Linked DNA regions of Anolis sagrei. The protein of the gene in region 1 interacts with the protein of each later gene in a biochemical or structural test. Links are inferred from orthologs where the notes say so. Each region holds a gene or a part of one and is shown in the gene's direction. Other genes may lie near its edges.

Region 1 (7,775 bases):
TGCAGGAGATAGACAATAATTATGGTTATTTTAGAGAAATCTTGAACCAAACCTTAAAAGGGGATTGCTTCTTGTGGTGACCTAATTTGACATCTGGCAAATAGACTGCTTGGGGATTCATATACAGACTTGCAAAGCCTTTTTGATCAGGATTGACAGTGGACAAGAAAAAATATGCACATACCATGACAAATGTTCCCTCTCTTGAGGCCCTGTCCATTGTCCTTTTAAAAATGCCACCTCTCTTCAGATCACCTACATATGGCAGAAGTGACAAGTGGGGATTCTGGAGAATTGCTGCTGCTATTATCCTTACCATATTTTTTATTATACCAGCACTCAGATACTGTAAGTGCTGCTACTCTCACAGTTGCCATGTAACCAAATCTGAAACTAGTTCCAGGTTACTAAATAACACCTGATCATTCTATTTTCTGCCAGTTGTTTATTTTCTACACAACCACATAGGAGGGGGAAGATGCTTACAACACCCAGTCATATACAAATCACTACTCACCCAGATAAGACGTGGAAAAATATTCCAAAACTGTTTTTCATGCTTTATTTAATATGGATGTGTGTGCAATAGGTAAATTTTGGATGTGTTTTAAATGGGTGTTAGAGTACCAAATAATCTTATACCTATGTTCTATAACCTATAAACTTTTAATGTTCTTTTATGTTGAATCTAATGAATAAATAATGATTTGAAACTAGATGTACATCTGTTAAGACAAGCAATAGTTCTTTTGTGAATGAGACATAGCATCCTATACTTACACACTGAACAGGGAATAATACTAGATGTCCCATGAGGCCTCTTCCTATATGATGTTATGGCCTTGTGACATAAGGCTGGAGGCAAGCATTTGCCTTAAGTAGATAAACAAAATCTGGCTACCAGTTAAAAAAACACTAAAATTATAACAGCAAAACAACACCCAAACACAGGAAACTCCAGAGAGAAAACAATCAGGAACAACTAATCACCTCTCAACAAAAGATTTCCCCAGGCACTAAGAAGCCACACCAAAAAACTGCCAGGCCATGAAATGTTAATCAAGGTGGTCAGTTGAAACCTTCACACCTAGCTCCAACAGACAAGAGTTCTTTGTCCCACCCTGGACATTCCACAGATATATAAACCCAATTTTCCTAGTTCCAACAGACCTCACAACCTCTGAGGATGCTTGTCATAGATGCAGGCGAAACTTCAGGAGGAAATGCCTCTAGAACATAGCCATAAAGCCCGAAAAAACCTACAGCAACTCAATTCTACATACCTCAGCTTACTGCCAGGGTTTCATGGCTTGGAGGTATGGCAGTTAACATTGTCTTACATTAATACTATGGTGTAATGTTACTATCCCTGCTGTTTTTCACTAACAGAAAATGAACAGCAACTCTACAACAAGCTGAAAACAGGGCTATGATATAATTTGGAATTTTCACATGAATGTCCAAATAGACCAAAATGGTTTTGTTCCTTTTAATTTCTTGTTGAGGAAGAAACACATATTTTCAGCACAAAGAAATGGTTTTTTTTGGTATATGATATTTGAACCAGAGTACCATTTGAAATAAGATTTGTATTGTTGGACAGGCATATTCAAATCGCAATGGAAGGGGGAGAACCCTTTTTTAACACCAGTATTCTGTTACCAATATGAATATTTAAGATACCAACTTGTGTCCTACTAAAAAAAACAACCCTCATCCATGCTCTGTGTGTGATATAAATATATTTTGGAAAGAATGTTAATGCTTTAACTAGTCTGTTAACTCTGTTTGGATGGATTTGGTTACATTTATTTTACAAGGTTTTTTTAGAGCCATGCTCAATTTTTGAAAAAAAGTTGTAGATGATTACTTCTTAAATCTACTCACATGAATACACATTTCCATCATACCCCTCCAAGCTATGCTTCCCCTCCTCTCCCCCCTCTCCCATTTCCCCTCTGTCAGTAAACTCCAGTAGATTACTAGCATAAATCATTCTTCTCCATTTAGGAGATTCAGTATCATCTTCACAATATCCCTTCCACTGATGTAATCCAGAGATCAAGAGGTCAGTGATGGGTTTTCAAGTATTCTATTTGGTCTCTCTCACAGACTTAATACTTTTAAAAAGTAAACTTACATACTTAAGAACCAGGGATTGGAACTTTATAATAGCCAAAGTTCCCTGGAAGAGAATAAATGCCATTGGGAAATGTCTTCAAAGATTTACATAACCTCTACAAAATAAATTAACTCCAGCTCATTGCCTCTGCCAGTTGAAGTACTAGGGGAAGGACACTGTGTGTTTCTGAGATCCCAGTGTGAACTGTTTGTAATTGTCAACCAGCACAACTTTCAGGTAAAATTAAGCTTTCTTATTGCAGCCGTCCAGAGAAATTTCCTTAGGATATTGAACCAACTCTTCACATCTCTGCTCATGACCAGAGTTGGTCTCTGGTTGGTGAGAGAGAGCTGAGGCGAAACTCAAACTCTTGCTAAACTCTTGAGGGAAATTGTGTCAGTTCAAGAACTATATATCAGGGCTCTAAATCTCATTTCTTTCTGTTTTGGTGCATTTTCTCAATATTGGAACCTGTCTCCTTTCCACTTGCTTTCATAAGAAATGGTAGCCTGTTTTCTCATCATTACGTGCTTTCATTCCTTTTTTCTCTCAAAAAGTGAATGTGCTGAATACATATTCAGTATAGATTTTATGAGGCTCAGATACAGTGATTCAGCAGATGAAAGGATATTTCCTGGTAAATGAGGGTATGGAAACTACATTGTAGAACGAGTCCAGTTTGACATCACTTTAAATGTCATGGCTTAATGCTATGGAATCATGGGAGTTGCAGTTTAATGAAACAGTGGCAATATTTGGCAGAGAAGGCATCTGGAAAATTCCATAGTGTTAGATCAGGAAATCTGAAGGAGCTTTTGTGTACAACCAGGCACGGCTTAACCCATTATGCAAAGTAAGCATTTGCAGTATAGTTGATTTTGCCCAGGGGCGCTCTTGAGGTGCTCTTGGGGGAAAATAGACCTTGACATATGCGAGTTGTAGTTACTGGGATGTATAGTTCACCTAAAATCAAAGAGCATTCTGAACTCCACCAATGATAGAATTGAACCAAATATGGCACACAGAACTCCCACGACAAACAGAAAATATATATCAGTGATTGGTTGGGGGGGGGGGGGTGTGTGCCAAAATACTGTTTGCTTACCATTGAAAATTACCTAGGGCTGCCTCTGTGTACAACTTACCCTAAAACTTCAATGATGCAAATTCTTATCTGAGAGTTGAGCCCATTGGAACTCATTGTGCTTATTTCTGAATAGATATGATTTCTGCTTTGAAATTATTTTAAAAATGTCATACACACATTCACAAACATACATATGTATGTATGCATACATACACACACTGTGTGGGAAGATGATGCCCCAAGAAGCCAATTTAATTGTATGCATACATATTGAGAGGTTAATTTTTTCATAGTTAATACTTTAGGAGAGAAAAATCCTCCCAGTTCTTCTTGAAAAAGAAACATTGTTTTTTTTTCCCTTCAGATTATTCATATAATCTTTCTGACAATTGCCATTCTCCCCCCCTTCCCACCTTGCTTAGTCTACCACATTGGTATAGCTTAAAACATGGGGGAAATGGTGCAAAATCATGCAAAATGGTATCCTGGCTACCAACACAATTTTACTGTGTTTTGGTGCTTCTTACACTGCATCAAAACAGCAACAATTAAATAAACTACAAATAAAAGGGGTAGTATTGTTTCTAGTGCTCCCCACTTTTGGGGAAAGTGTTGGGGCAGTCAAACTCCTCCCTGATAAGTTTGGTGAAATTTGATGGATACCGCTCCCTCCCCTCTTCCTTCAATTATTCTGCTTCTGAATAGGATGGAGACTTTAGAGATGCACACTGTTGTAGATTTTAAACCAGTTCTTCAGCATTTTCACTTGAAGCTAAGCTTGATTTACTAAGTTCTTGTGGGTTTTTTTGGGCTATATGGCCATGTTGTAGAGGCATTTCTCCTGACGTTTCGCCTGCATCTATGGCAAGCATCCTCTGAGGATGCTTGCCATAGATGCAGGCGAAACGTCAGGAGAAATGCCTCTACAACATGGCCATATAGCCCAAAAAAACCCACAAGAACTTAGTGATTCCAGCCATGAAAGCCTTCGACAATACATTGAACATAAGCTTGATTTATTAGTGTACAGCACAATGCAAATACTAAGCATTAGTAGTGAGATGAAACAGAAGGCAATACTTATTGTAGGTGAGGTATTTTCACAAAGAAACATTTAGTGAATTGGTTTTTAATTTCAGCTCCAATCCCTTCCATATTTAAGGATAATACTCCAAGCCATGCAGTAAGACTTCTTAAGGATTTAGCACACTTTCAAAAGGCTTGGCAAAACAGGATTAGTCCCTTTCAAAGACACTGTCACATTTATTCGGTATAGACAGAGTTAACGTTAAGGACAATCCAAGTACTTTCAGGGGTTTCTGCTCCCCCCCCCCATTTTTTTTTTTTTTTTTTTTTTGCTTTTGCATTGCAGTTACCTTGTTGATGGTGCCTCCTTGCAAAACTCCCACATGAACCGAAGGTTCAGCAGTTACAGAGAAAACAAAGATTACTGATTAGAAAAGAACATAATCAGGTAGATTGACACTGTGTTGGAAGAAACCATTGCCCTGGAGAGGGGAGGGGAGGTTGACATTAGTATTCTCACAGGATAGTAGCTGAGACTTCTTTATCTTTGCTCTAACTGTTTACAAGTACATCAGAGAATGTAATGTTCCTGAAGGCAGCTAAAACAACTGTGCTATTTTCTGACTCTTGAAAATTGCACCGGTAGATGTGCAGGCATTATCTTCACAGTGTTAGAGAGGAACCAACTGGGAAATTAAAAAGAAGTGTGTGTGCGTGTGTGCTTGTGTGTGTGTGTATGTATACGAGCGAGAGCTTTCTCATGGAAGTACGAGCCAGGACATTCTTTGAAATATCTGGTGACTCATCTGGTAAGTCTTTTAAAATAAATAAATAAATACATAAAAACAATTCACCACTGTATATAAATATGACAAAGCCTAAATGGTGTTAACATTCTAACAGTGTCATTCCCTAAAGATAGCTTTTGGATCAGTTTGCCTCGTCTTCTGACAAGTTTGTCTTACTGCTGTATTCTGACCTTAAAAGGTAGCGTTCTAACAACTTAGAAACAAGGAGTGGAGGAAAGTCAAAAAGAAATATTGTTGTTTGAATAGAGTACTAATAGTAACATGGTTCTTGTACCGTGTGACTTCAATGTTAATTTTATTATAGAAACTGACTCTGAGAATATAATAATCATGAAACATAGAAGTTACTATAGCTCCTGGCAAACTTAACCCATAGAATCAGTGGTTTGGAAATTATTCTGCAGAACATTCAGTGTTTACACTAGCACAGTTAACCCAACAATTCTGTTTTGTATATATTACAGAATACTTATCTTAAAAGCTGAAGGCGTCGCAAATAAACAAAAGCTTATGTATGCTTATGCATTAATCCTTTTGAGTTTAGTATGGCTAAGTTCCAAGTAACTATGCATTATATGAAACATCGTTGTATAATTTACTAGAGTAGTAAAACAACTGGGTCACTGGGTTAAAAACCACATATGGGTCAGTTTGTTATTATTAGAGAATCAGAATGTATTATGTTCATTGTGAGCTGTGACTAGTGTTCTACAAGTATTGATATCTATTATATATGTCAAAGGATGCACAAAAGCATGCTATATGGATTAACAAGGGCATTTTATCAAACATATTGCTGATTGCTTTGTTTTAAAAAGACAGAACAGATGAGAGCAGTTTTAGTAACTGTAAATTGTAAGTGTTCCATTGTTTTCAATGGGACGCACATGTTCTTAGTCCTCTTACATTCTATATTACTTTCTTTTTTGTTGTGTGCCTAAGGCAAATCTATCATGGGGTTTTCTGTGGCTGAGAGTGAGTGATTCAGGGCCCTTTTACACTGGCCAAAATGCAAGTGGAATTAGTGTTTAAAACACTGATTCTTCCTGCATTTTTCAGCCACATGGGTCTGACACCTCACCTTTCTGTTGGGGAGGTGGCCAGATATCCACCTGTACTGATTCACAGAGTGGGATATAGCCGCCACTAACCCTCTCACCTCCCTACCCCACCCCATTTCATCCAAAAACATACCATAAAATACCAAGGCACAAGGCTTCTCCAGAGCTCCTGGCACATCAGAATGGGGTGGTACTGCCATTCCCTCTCCCTGGGGCAACAGAGGTAGGATGGCTGTGGGGACTACTTTTGGGATCACATATGGTGATCCACGAGGCCCATACCTAGAAAGATCCAGATCTTGCAATAAAGACAGATAGAATGTTTGTCAACCATACAAAACATACACACAGGAGGCTGTTCGTCCATTTAAAAATTATCATACATGTGTGCAGTGCACCTTTTATTCATGTGTACACCTATTTGTTTATTTGAAATATGTATATGTCACTTTTCTCTCAAGAAAGTCAAATGATTTTGATAGTTTGATAAAAGTAGAATCTAATATATAAAGGCTTATGTTACAATAACAGCTTTTCTTGCTTTTGAAATGCTAGAGGGTTGGTCTCAGACTAACATAGTTGGTGTTCTGGGAAACCTTGCAGAAAAAAATAATTTTAGCTGAATATTGTAGAAACTGGAGCTGCAATACAAACTTGAAAAGTGTATACAGCTTCTGTGAGTCCCACATCTGTAGTTGGAAGGACTGCTGTTATCTCGGCAGTGGTTCTCTATGCCTGGAGAGTGAATGTGAGGATGCCTTCTTTTTAAACCAAACTGTTAGAATGAAAATAAACTGAAGTGCTAGTGTCACAGTGAAATGAACAGATTATGAATGTCAAATGTACTGTACTATCGATGGTTGTTATATTTTAAAAGTCCCACTGCTATGGTGAAATAAAATGGCAGAGTTATTCTGAATTTCGTCTCAATCTTGGGACATAATAACTGTAAAAATCTTACTACATTTATGAAACATCATTCTAAAATATCAATTTACCACCATCTGGCCTCAGAGATTGTTGGATGGCTGCTCATTTAAAGATACATATAGTGATTTGGCACTGCCTGATACTAGTTAAACATGTGTTGCCATTATTGATCTATTAAACACCCTAATGTCACACCTCAGAGTAGGTTCACCTTCCTGAAAACACCAAACTGCACACAGCCAGAAGTCTTATAGTTTATTGAAAAGTAGAAGATAAAAAGTTCTTAAAAGCAAAAGTAATGTTCTAAAAGATCAATACAAAACAACACCTTGAAAGCATGATCCAAATAGGCACCAGCAAAGCAAAATCCCATGAGAACATGACTGAATCCTGAGACCATGAACTCAAGAACTGCAAGATAATCCAGACAAGCAAAATGCAAGCTTCTTGGTTAAACGAAAAGTAGCTCTGACAAAGGTTTGGTCCCAAACACTCTGCTTAATACCCTTTGCAAAACATGAAAAGCGTTTCTTTGGCCTCTGACCTCCTTCTTGTTAGTTATTCTCACACTCCTTCGAACTCTGAATTCCAAACTGTCAGCACGATCTAAGGTTCCCGCTTCATCAAGGTCAGTCTGTTCGTTAGTGCTATCCAGTTTGCCTTCCTGCTCATTATCAGGCTGAGAACTGTCCTCCTTTTCTGAGTCAACGTGCACCTGCACCTAGCTATTTTCAGCATCA
Region 2 (7,269 bases), on another chromosome or scaffold:
AGCAAGCATAACCAGTGGTGAGGCCTCCTGGTAGCTGAAGTCCTACAATGTTTTGTGGACTTTTTGATTCCCAACTCTGCTGTGTAGTAAGCAAAGACATTGAAGCCTAACACTTTGTGAAGTCAAAAGAGAAACAAAGAAAGGGAATGTCTTGTTACCCTCTGGTTGAGACCTTTAATAATTGCAGATCGCTACAAGTCCTTTCAGGGAATGGAATGCAAATAAACTGTGACAGTCTCAGAATTAGAAGTTTAGTATCTATAAAACTTCCAGAGAGAGATAGTGGTAGAGTTACTTCTGGTCGTTTTTATAACCCCATCTCTCACAGGATATAAGCAAGTTTTACGCATTTACAAAAATGAGAGGTGACATGGAAGGAAATTGTTACTAGCCCTTCGTGCATCATCCGGCTTGGATTCTCGTAAGTGCGGATTTCCCCTCTCCTTGACCACGGACTGTTTCTGACAACGATGCTACCTTTGGGACTTTGGAATCTTCATCTGGGATTTCTTCAACTTGGGACTGTTTTTGGACGACAGCTTTTCTTCATGGCTCTTTGTTTTACCATTATCTTTGAACTGTGTGATTTTGGTGTGTTTTGAACTAACACTGGTTTAATCCGATTTTTTGCAAGTTTAATCCAGTTTATTTTCCAAGTTATTTATTTATTTTATTTACTTTATTTGTATACCGCACTCTCTCAGCCCATAGGCGACTCAGTGCGGTTTACAACCAAACCAATATACAAAGTGCACAACATTAGCAATTAAAACAGTAACTAAGGCAACTACATCAATATAACAATACATCAGTACATCAATCTAACATCAATACATCCATATAACTAATCCATCACGTCTCATCAGTAAAGTCATAATCTGATCTCCTCATCCATTATTCCAAGTTCCAAGATCAATCAATTAATTAAGTTCATTTTTTAAGCTGCAAGTTGCTGCAAACTTTGAGTTTTGACCAGAGACACTGAGGCAAGTGTCTCTGAGTCCTGTTTACTTTGATTTAATAAACTGTTGTTTTGAATACTTCCTTGTGTCTGGCTCTTTAAGGCATCTGGGTTCCGGCAGATAGTGTACATTGAATTTTTTAGTTCTTAGGTAGCTAATTCTCTAAAATACTGTTTCAAAATGTTTCAAAGCCTTTTGAGTATCAAACAAAATAAGCAAGCAAGCAGGCAAAGTAAATCCAGTTGTTAGTCTTGCCTTCAGTTAAACTGTCTCTGAACTGAAGTTTGGTACAGTGTACATTTCCAGGTGACCGAAGCAAGCTCAAAAGCAAGCTCCACTGCAGCTGATTTTATATGTGGTAGGTTTGTATCAGATTGCAGCCTTACTCAGTAGTTCAGGATTAATATCTATCATTTGTGGCAGGTATATCTAATTGGAATATTGTACTAGATTCGTAAACATTTGACAAAGTCTTTCCCAACTTGTCATCAAAGTGTCTGGGCCATGTTTCCATTTGAAATTCCAAACTGATTGCTCTCAGAAAGGACAAGCAACAACCAGACCTAACTCAACACAAAACCATGGTAGATGCCTCGAGATGCCACATAACATTCTTAGTTATTGTCAGGATGGCAGCAGCAACTTGTCGAGTCAAAAGGCAAAATTCCAAAAAGTTTGTTTTAGAAATAAAAAGGGGACATTATAAATCTGGGAAATCATGCCCCCGGTGGTACAGTGGATTAAACCCTTGTGCTGGCAGGACTGAAGACCGACAGATCACAGGTTCGAATTCAGGGAAAACATGGATGAGCTACCTCTGTAAGCCCCAGCTCCCCGTGCAGAGACATGAGAGAAACCTCCCACAAGGATCGTAAAGCATCAGAATATCCGGGTGTCTCCTGGGCAACATCCTTGCAGAAGGCCAATTCTCTCAAACCAGAAGCGACTTGCAGTTTCTCAAGTCTCTCCTGAGATGAAAAAAAAATCCTGCTGGGTGCCCCAAAAGTTGAAAGAGTTTATCTAAGCATCATAACAGTTTGGGAATTTTTTTGTTTAATAATCTTTATTTAATTTTTAAAGAGTACATTAAAAATAGTATAGCATAAAAATATGGTGGTCTTTAAATAAAGAAAGTTATATAGAGTTAAAGATACAGATAAAGATTCGTGTGGGATATGATAAAAGGGAATTGGAGGGTGGGGGGGGGGGGGTAGAAAGATATGACAAAATGGCAGTGTGAAAAGATACAAAGATTAGCTGATAATAAGTGGGAAGTAGGAAGATATATAGAAAGATAGCATTGAAAAAACAGATAAGAACGTAGATGTCTTGGTTTCCCAGTGTTTTGTCTGAGGTTCTCTCCATTTCCTTTCTTTTCCTTTTACTTACTTGTTTTTTCTCTTTCTCCCTCCCTTCATTTTTCCCATTTCTTTCTCTTGTCTAAATAAGTTTGGGAAATAATTTTAATGGGCTAACAAAGAGGAGTGACCTCTCTAAGATACGACTGTTAAGATTCGTAAAGCAGGGGAATAATTGGGAAAACAGGAAAGGGCTAAAAGACTGCCACTCAGATTCCCGAACTTAAAGGAGGGTCTGGAAAATATCTTTCCTAAGTGAGATTTGTGAGGTGAAATGGGTGGCCAAGAAATAAAAATAGATTCAGTGGATGATTAGTTGCAGATCCAGACTGCAATAGGCACATTCCCCATGGCAAGAACATCAGAACAGCCCTGTTAGATCAGGACAAATCTCTCCCAATCTGCCATTCTGATCTCAGAATGGGAATATCTATAGGAAGTCCACCAGCAGAACACAATTGCTCTAGGACATTAATGGTTGTGTTCCCTCATAAATGAACGTACTGAAAGGCATGCCTCTTCTGAAAGTAATAGCCATTGTTGTCCTCCATTATTTTTTTTATAATCCTTCCTAAAAACGATCAATGTTAGCGGCCATGACTATCTTTTAATGTTGAATTCCACAGCTTCCCTTTACATGGTATAAAGGTACTTGCCCTCAGTCTCAACTATTCAGTTTAATTGGAATAATCTAGGATTTTAGCATGAGAAAAGGAAGACATATTCTTCTCCCCTTTCTCCCCATGCAGAATAGGCACACTTAGTCATTAGCTAATATTAGATTTGGCAGCAGTATTAGATTTCAGCTACCTCTTTCTTGGAAATCGGCTTGGCATCATTCCCTGATGTTTCTGTACCAGCCTGTTTTTCTAAATCCATTAATAATTTTTCTTAAAGTGCTATGGAGAAGACAAGATATCTATAAAGCTTACATTTTTTTCAGCTTTCCCAAAAGCGAATTACAGTATTCTTACATGACTTTAAGTAAGATTAGACAAATGTATAGCAGGTAGATCTACCAAAAGCTAGTAACACTAATTACTAAAAATTACGAGTGTAGACATACATTGAATCCAAGTGCTTGATTGTATTAAAACCTTCTGATAGCTTCAGAATATAATCCAAAAGACAAAATAATAATTAGTTCAAGAACTTACTAGATTTGCAGGTAAGCAGATTTATGCCACTAGTTTCCACATAGTATATGGAGGGAATGCCCCTTCGGAGATTGTGAATGCAGTGTCTTAATGCTGCTGATACAATGCAATTCTAAATGTTATTATAACTGCAGTTTTAAGTAACGCTTTCATGGAAATAAATTTCATTGACATATAGGGCTCTTACAAACAGGCATGTTTATTTATTTAGGTGTTCTTGTCTCTCTTTCCAAGAGAGAATGCCCTCAAAAAAGTGCTTTGGGATCCAGATGTAGATAGATGCTGTTCATTTTGGTAATACGGATGTTCCAATTGTGACATAGAGTGGGTGTTGCTCTTTTCACTCAGCTCTGGGATTCTCTATATGCTCAGTGATGTAGAGCACATAATTACGCATGTTCTTAAGGCCGGGTAGCTCCTGTCCTCTGTTGCCGCAGGCTCTCAGGAATGTCACTTGCAGAACATTCCTTTCCTGGGCAGCCAAGTTTGGAAGCTAGTTTATTCCTGGCTGCAAAACTGCAGTAATGCCTGAATGAGAGACATGGCAGGAGGGCTTCAATTTCTGCCTGTACCCAAACACCAAGGAGAAGCAGTGAGAGCGTCTTCTTTCATCTTGCCGAGACAGGTAACAACAACCGCAGAAGCAGCAGCTGTCTGGGGCTCTCCAAAGGAGGGAAAGTGAGGGAGGTGGAGTAACAGGGGGTGGGGGAGAGAAGAGAAAGGGAGTGGATCTGAGTGCTTGTGATTGGTAAGCCTCATGAAGGCATCTGCCAGCAGGACTTCAGAGGAATGTGAAACCAAATCATTTACAAGTTAAAGATAGAACCAAGAGTACATAGCATCTTGGGCACTAGTTTCAACTTAGTCTCTTGAAGACTGTTGCCTTGGGAGTTTTCTTTTCACTGCCTCCAAGGCACCTCAGTTTTTATTCTATCAGACTCTCATTTAGTGTTTTGGAATAACTAGGAGTGTGTAAGAAGATCATGGTGCATGCTGCAGGGTAAGTAACAAGCTTCATTTGAACTCCTTATTTCTTTTACCATGCTTGTTCAGCTTCTGGTCTGAACGTTACAGGGAGGCATGCCTACAGGTAATGTTCCCTGTTTGCCCCTTCAGAGTGCATGCCTCAGCGAATTGGCATTATACAACTTTTCTTGTTGTGGCATGCATGAAGACATATTTAGATTGAAAGCAGTGTTTCTTTCCTGCTAGATTTATTTTGCCCTAATGGTGTGCTAAATCTTTTTGTTTCAATTGCAGAATGAAAAGCACTTCGGCCATAGTAAATTTAGGAGCAAATTCGTATTTCTGTGTATATAGCATAGTAGCAGGCTATCCTAGATGCATCTTAGTGCCTCCTGTTATTCTATTCTGATTCTGGCACTGGTTCTGTGTAGCTTGGGAACACAAATAGATTTTTGTATCCCCAAGCTTCAGTTTGGCTTTTTTGGCAGGGTATTTCACTGTGGACTGTTTAGTTTTTTTGTCTGTGCATTTATGCTCCATTAGAAATATGCAGTAATCAAGAGTGATCTTTTGGTTAATTGAACAAAAGTAAGCAAGTGCTTGTTTATTAGATGAGTCTACTTATCTTCATTTGAATTGTAACATTACGTCCAGCTATTTATGTGTATATTCCAGTGAGGTTGGTAGATCTTTTGGAAGAAAATACTTACGTTATTTACATGTGAGAAAGAGATTTAATGGAATTATTTTAAAAACAATATTATTTAAAAAATGACACAGAGGAAGGAAGGATCCAGGCATATTATTTACTTCCTTGCCAAAATGAAATGTAATGCATAGGCTGTGCTTTACTTCATTGGTGTTTGTTAAATATTGGTCTCCTATGAAGTCATTTGTAGCTTGCACTTTTATTATGGTGTAAAATATTTCCTCCACTCCATTAATAATATTACATTTTTGAAATTTTATCTGTAACAAGGCTTTTTGCACTAGCTGTAGGAGGCAAAATGTTTTTTTTTATGGAGATATAAAATTACTGTTCCTCTGCTTGCATTTTAGAGAGCTCTTAAATTTCACAAAGATATCTTCAACTTGAAAATATGAGGAGAAACACTTGGCTACAACTCAAATCATTTTTGAACAGAAAATCTTCTGCACCTGACATTCTGTTCCTTTTCTTTGATAACTAATTCCATAAGTCACAGTGCTCAAGAGAATTGGGAGGAGGAGTGTATAAATAGCAAAAATAAAACTGAATATATGCAGTCGTTGCTTTTCCCCTGGTGACCATGACCGAGAGGAAGTAGAAATAATTTGCAAGAACAAAATGCAAAATGGAGGGGAGGAATGTGGGGATTATAATGTGCTGAATGGGATCTTAACTTAATACTTCTAATCTTCAGATTTTTGTGTACTGCTGTATGTATAATCATAGTATTTTAAGCTTTGTGACTCACAAAGTAGACTGAACAACCCCAACCTGGTCAGCCATTAGGCTACTTAGTGAACGGGTACAGTTCCAATTTTAGAAGTGGACGGGGCAGTGTTGGCACTATACCTTGTTGTAAAGTCAAGTTGGGAACAAATACTTTTGAAATTGGTCTGGGTCAGGTGCTTGTAGCTTTTCAATTCTAGGCATAACTTAGTAATTTAAATATGCATATTCTTAGAATCTAGAAAACTCTGTAAGAGATTTATACTAAACTGTTAAAACATGTATTTAGGGCATAGCCCAGCCAAAATTAATCCCTTTTATACTGAAGCTCTATGCACATGAACCTGGAAATAAGCAATGTTGAAAATATTTGTCTTTATTTCCTAACTAAACATCCATAGGATTGCATTATTATTCCCACTCATTTCAGAGCTAAACAGATGTTTAACTCTTATTCATATCAGTGGAACATTCATCTGTGTTGTAGCTGGATTTTGCCAGAAGATTTTGCTCATACTTAAATGTATACTCTCCTTTCCTTCTGTGTATAACATACATAGGGAAACAGTACTTGAGCATACTCACATCTAGTGAAAAGTCACTCTGTAAGATTTCCTGGTTTCCTCTAATAGAGGATGATGTATGTGTCATGTATGTGCATATGGGATAGAGCAAATAGAGCAATGAGACTTTCTCAGGCCCCTTCCACACAGCTGAATAAAATCCCACGATATCTGCTTTGAATTGGAATATATGTCATTGTGTACTCAGATAACCCAGTTTCTGCCTTGATATTCTGGGTTATATGACTGTGTGGAGGGGCCCTCAGTCATTGGTGTCCAAATCCTGGTAAAGCCTTTCCAGAGCAGTATGCCTACCTACATTCCTTTGCAATGTTAGGTCAGTAGTGAAGATTTCTATTGAACCATACTTTTAATTAAATGTTTTGACTACATCCAGACAAGTTCCTACTGCTAGCAATAAAAAAGACATTATTCAGCTGTACTATCAATCCCTTTTTGACAGAAAAAAAGATAAAAGGGCAGGAAAACACATCAGGGTTATAAATGGAAGATACCTGAAACACCCTTCCCCCCAGCTCTGTGAATGAAGAGAAACAATTACACCATAAAGGTTTTATTTGGAAGTATCCTACTTCTTTTACAGTGTTTCAAACGGATGCTGCTTTTGTAATGTAATCATTTATTGTGTGTTAAAATCCATGGATTTTCTGGTTTAGCTAATCACATTCAAGCCACCTTGAATGTAGTTTGTTGTTTATATAACAACAACAGCCACAACAATAGATAATCATTTTCCTATACTGTATGACCACCATATCCATAGGGGATACATTTCTGGACTTAACAAAGTTAGTGAAAATAATCAAT

The links. The genes of interacting proteins can lie anywhere in the genome.
Region 2: the proteins of DMD (region 1) and DTNA form a complex in vitro, tested with the Homo sapiens proteins (3 studies listed by BioGRID and IntAct, with this or other methods). The link is inferred for Anolis sagrei from reciprocal best matches to the Homo sapiens genes DMD and DTNA.

The regions. Positions count from the first base shown.
Region 1 is NC_090023.1:81,688,192-81,695,966, forward strand, and holds the start of DMD (dystrophin), read left to right. Parts: upstream 1-4,757; 5' UTR 4,758-4,881; coding exon 4,882-5,044; intron 5,045-7,775. UniProt on the Homo sapiens protein: Anchors the extracellular matrix to the cytoskeleton via F-actin. Ligand for dystroglycan.
Region 2 is NC_090024.1:54,070,309-54,077,577, reverse strand, and holds the start of DTNA (dystrobrevin alpha), read left to right. Parts: upstream 1-4,251; 5' UTR 4,252-4,460; coding exon 4,461-4,477; intron 4,478-7,269. UniProt on the Homo sapiens protein: May be involved in the formation and stability of synapses as well as being involved in the clustering of nicotinic acetylcholine receptors.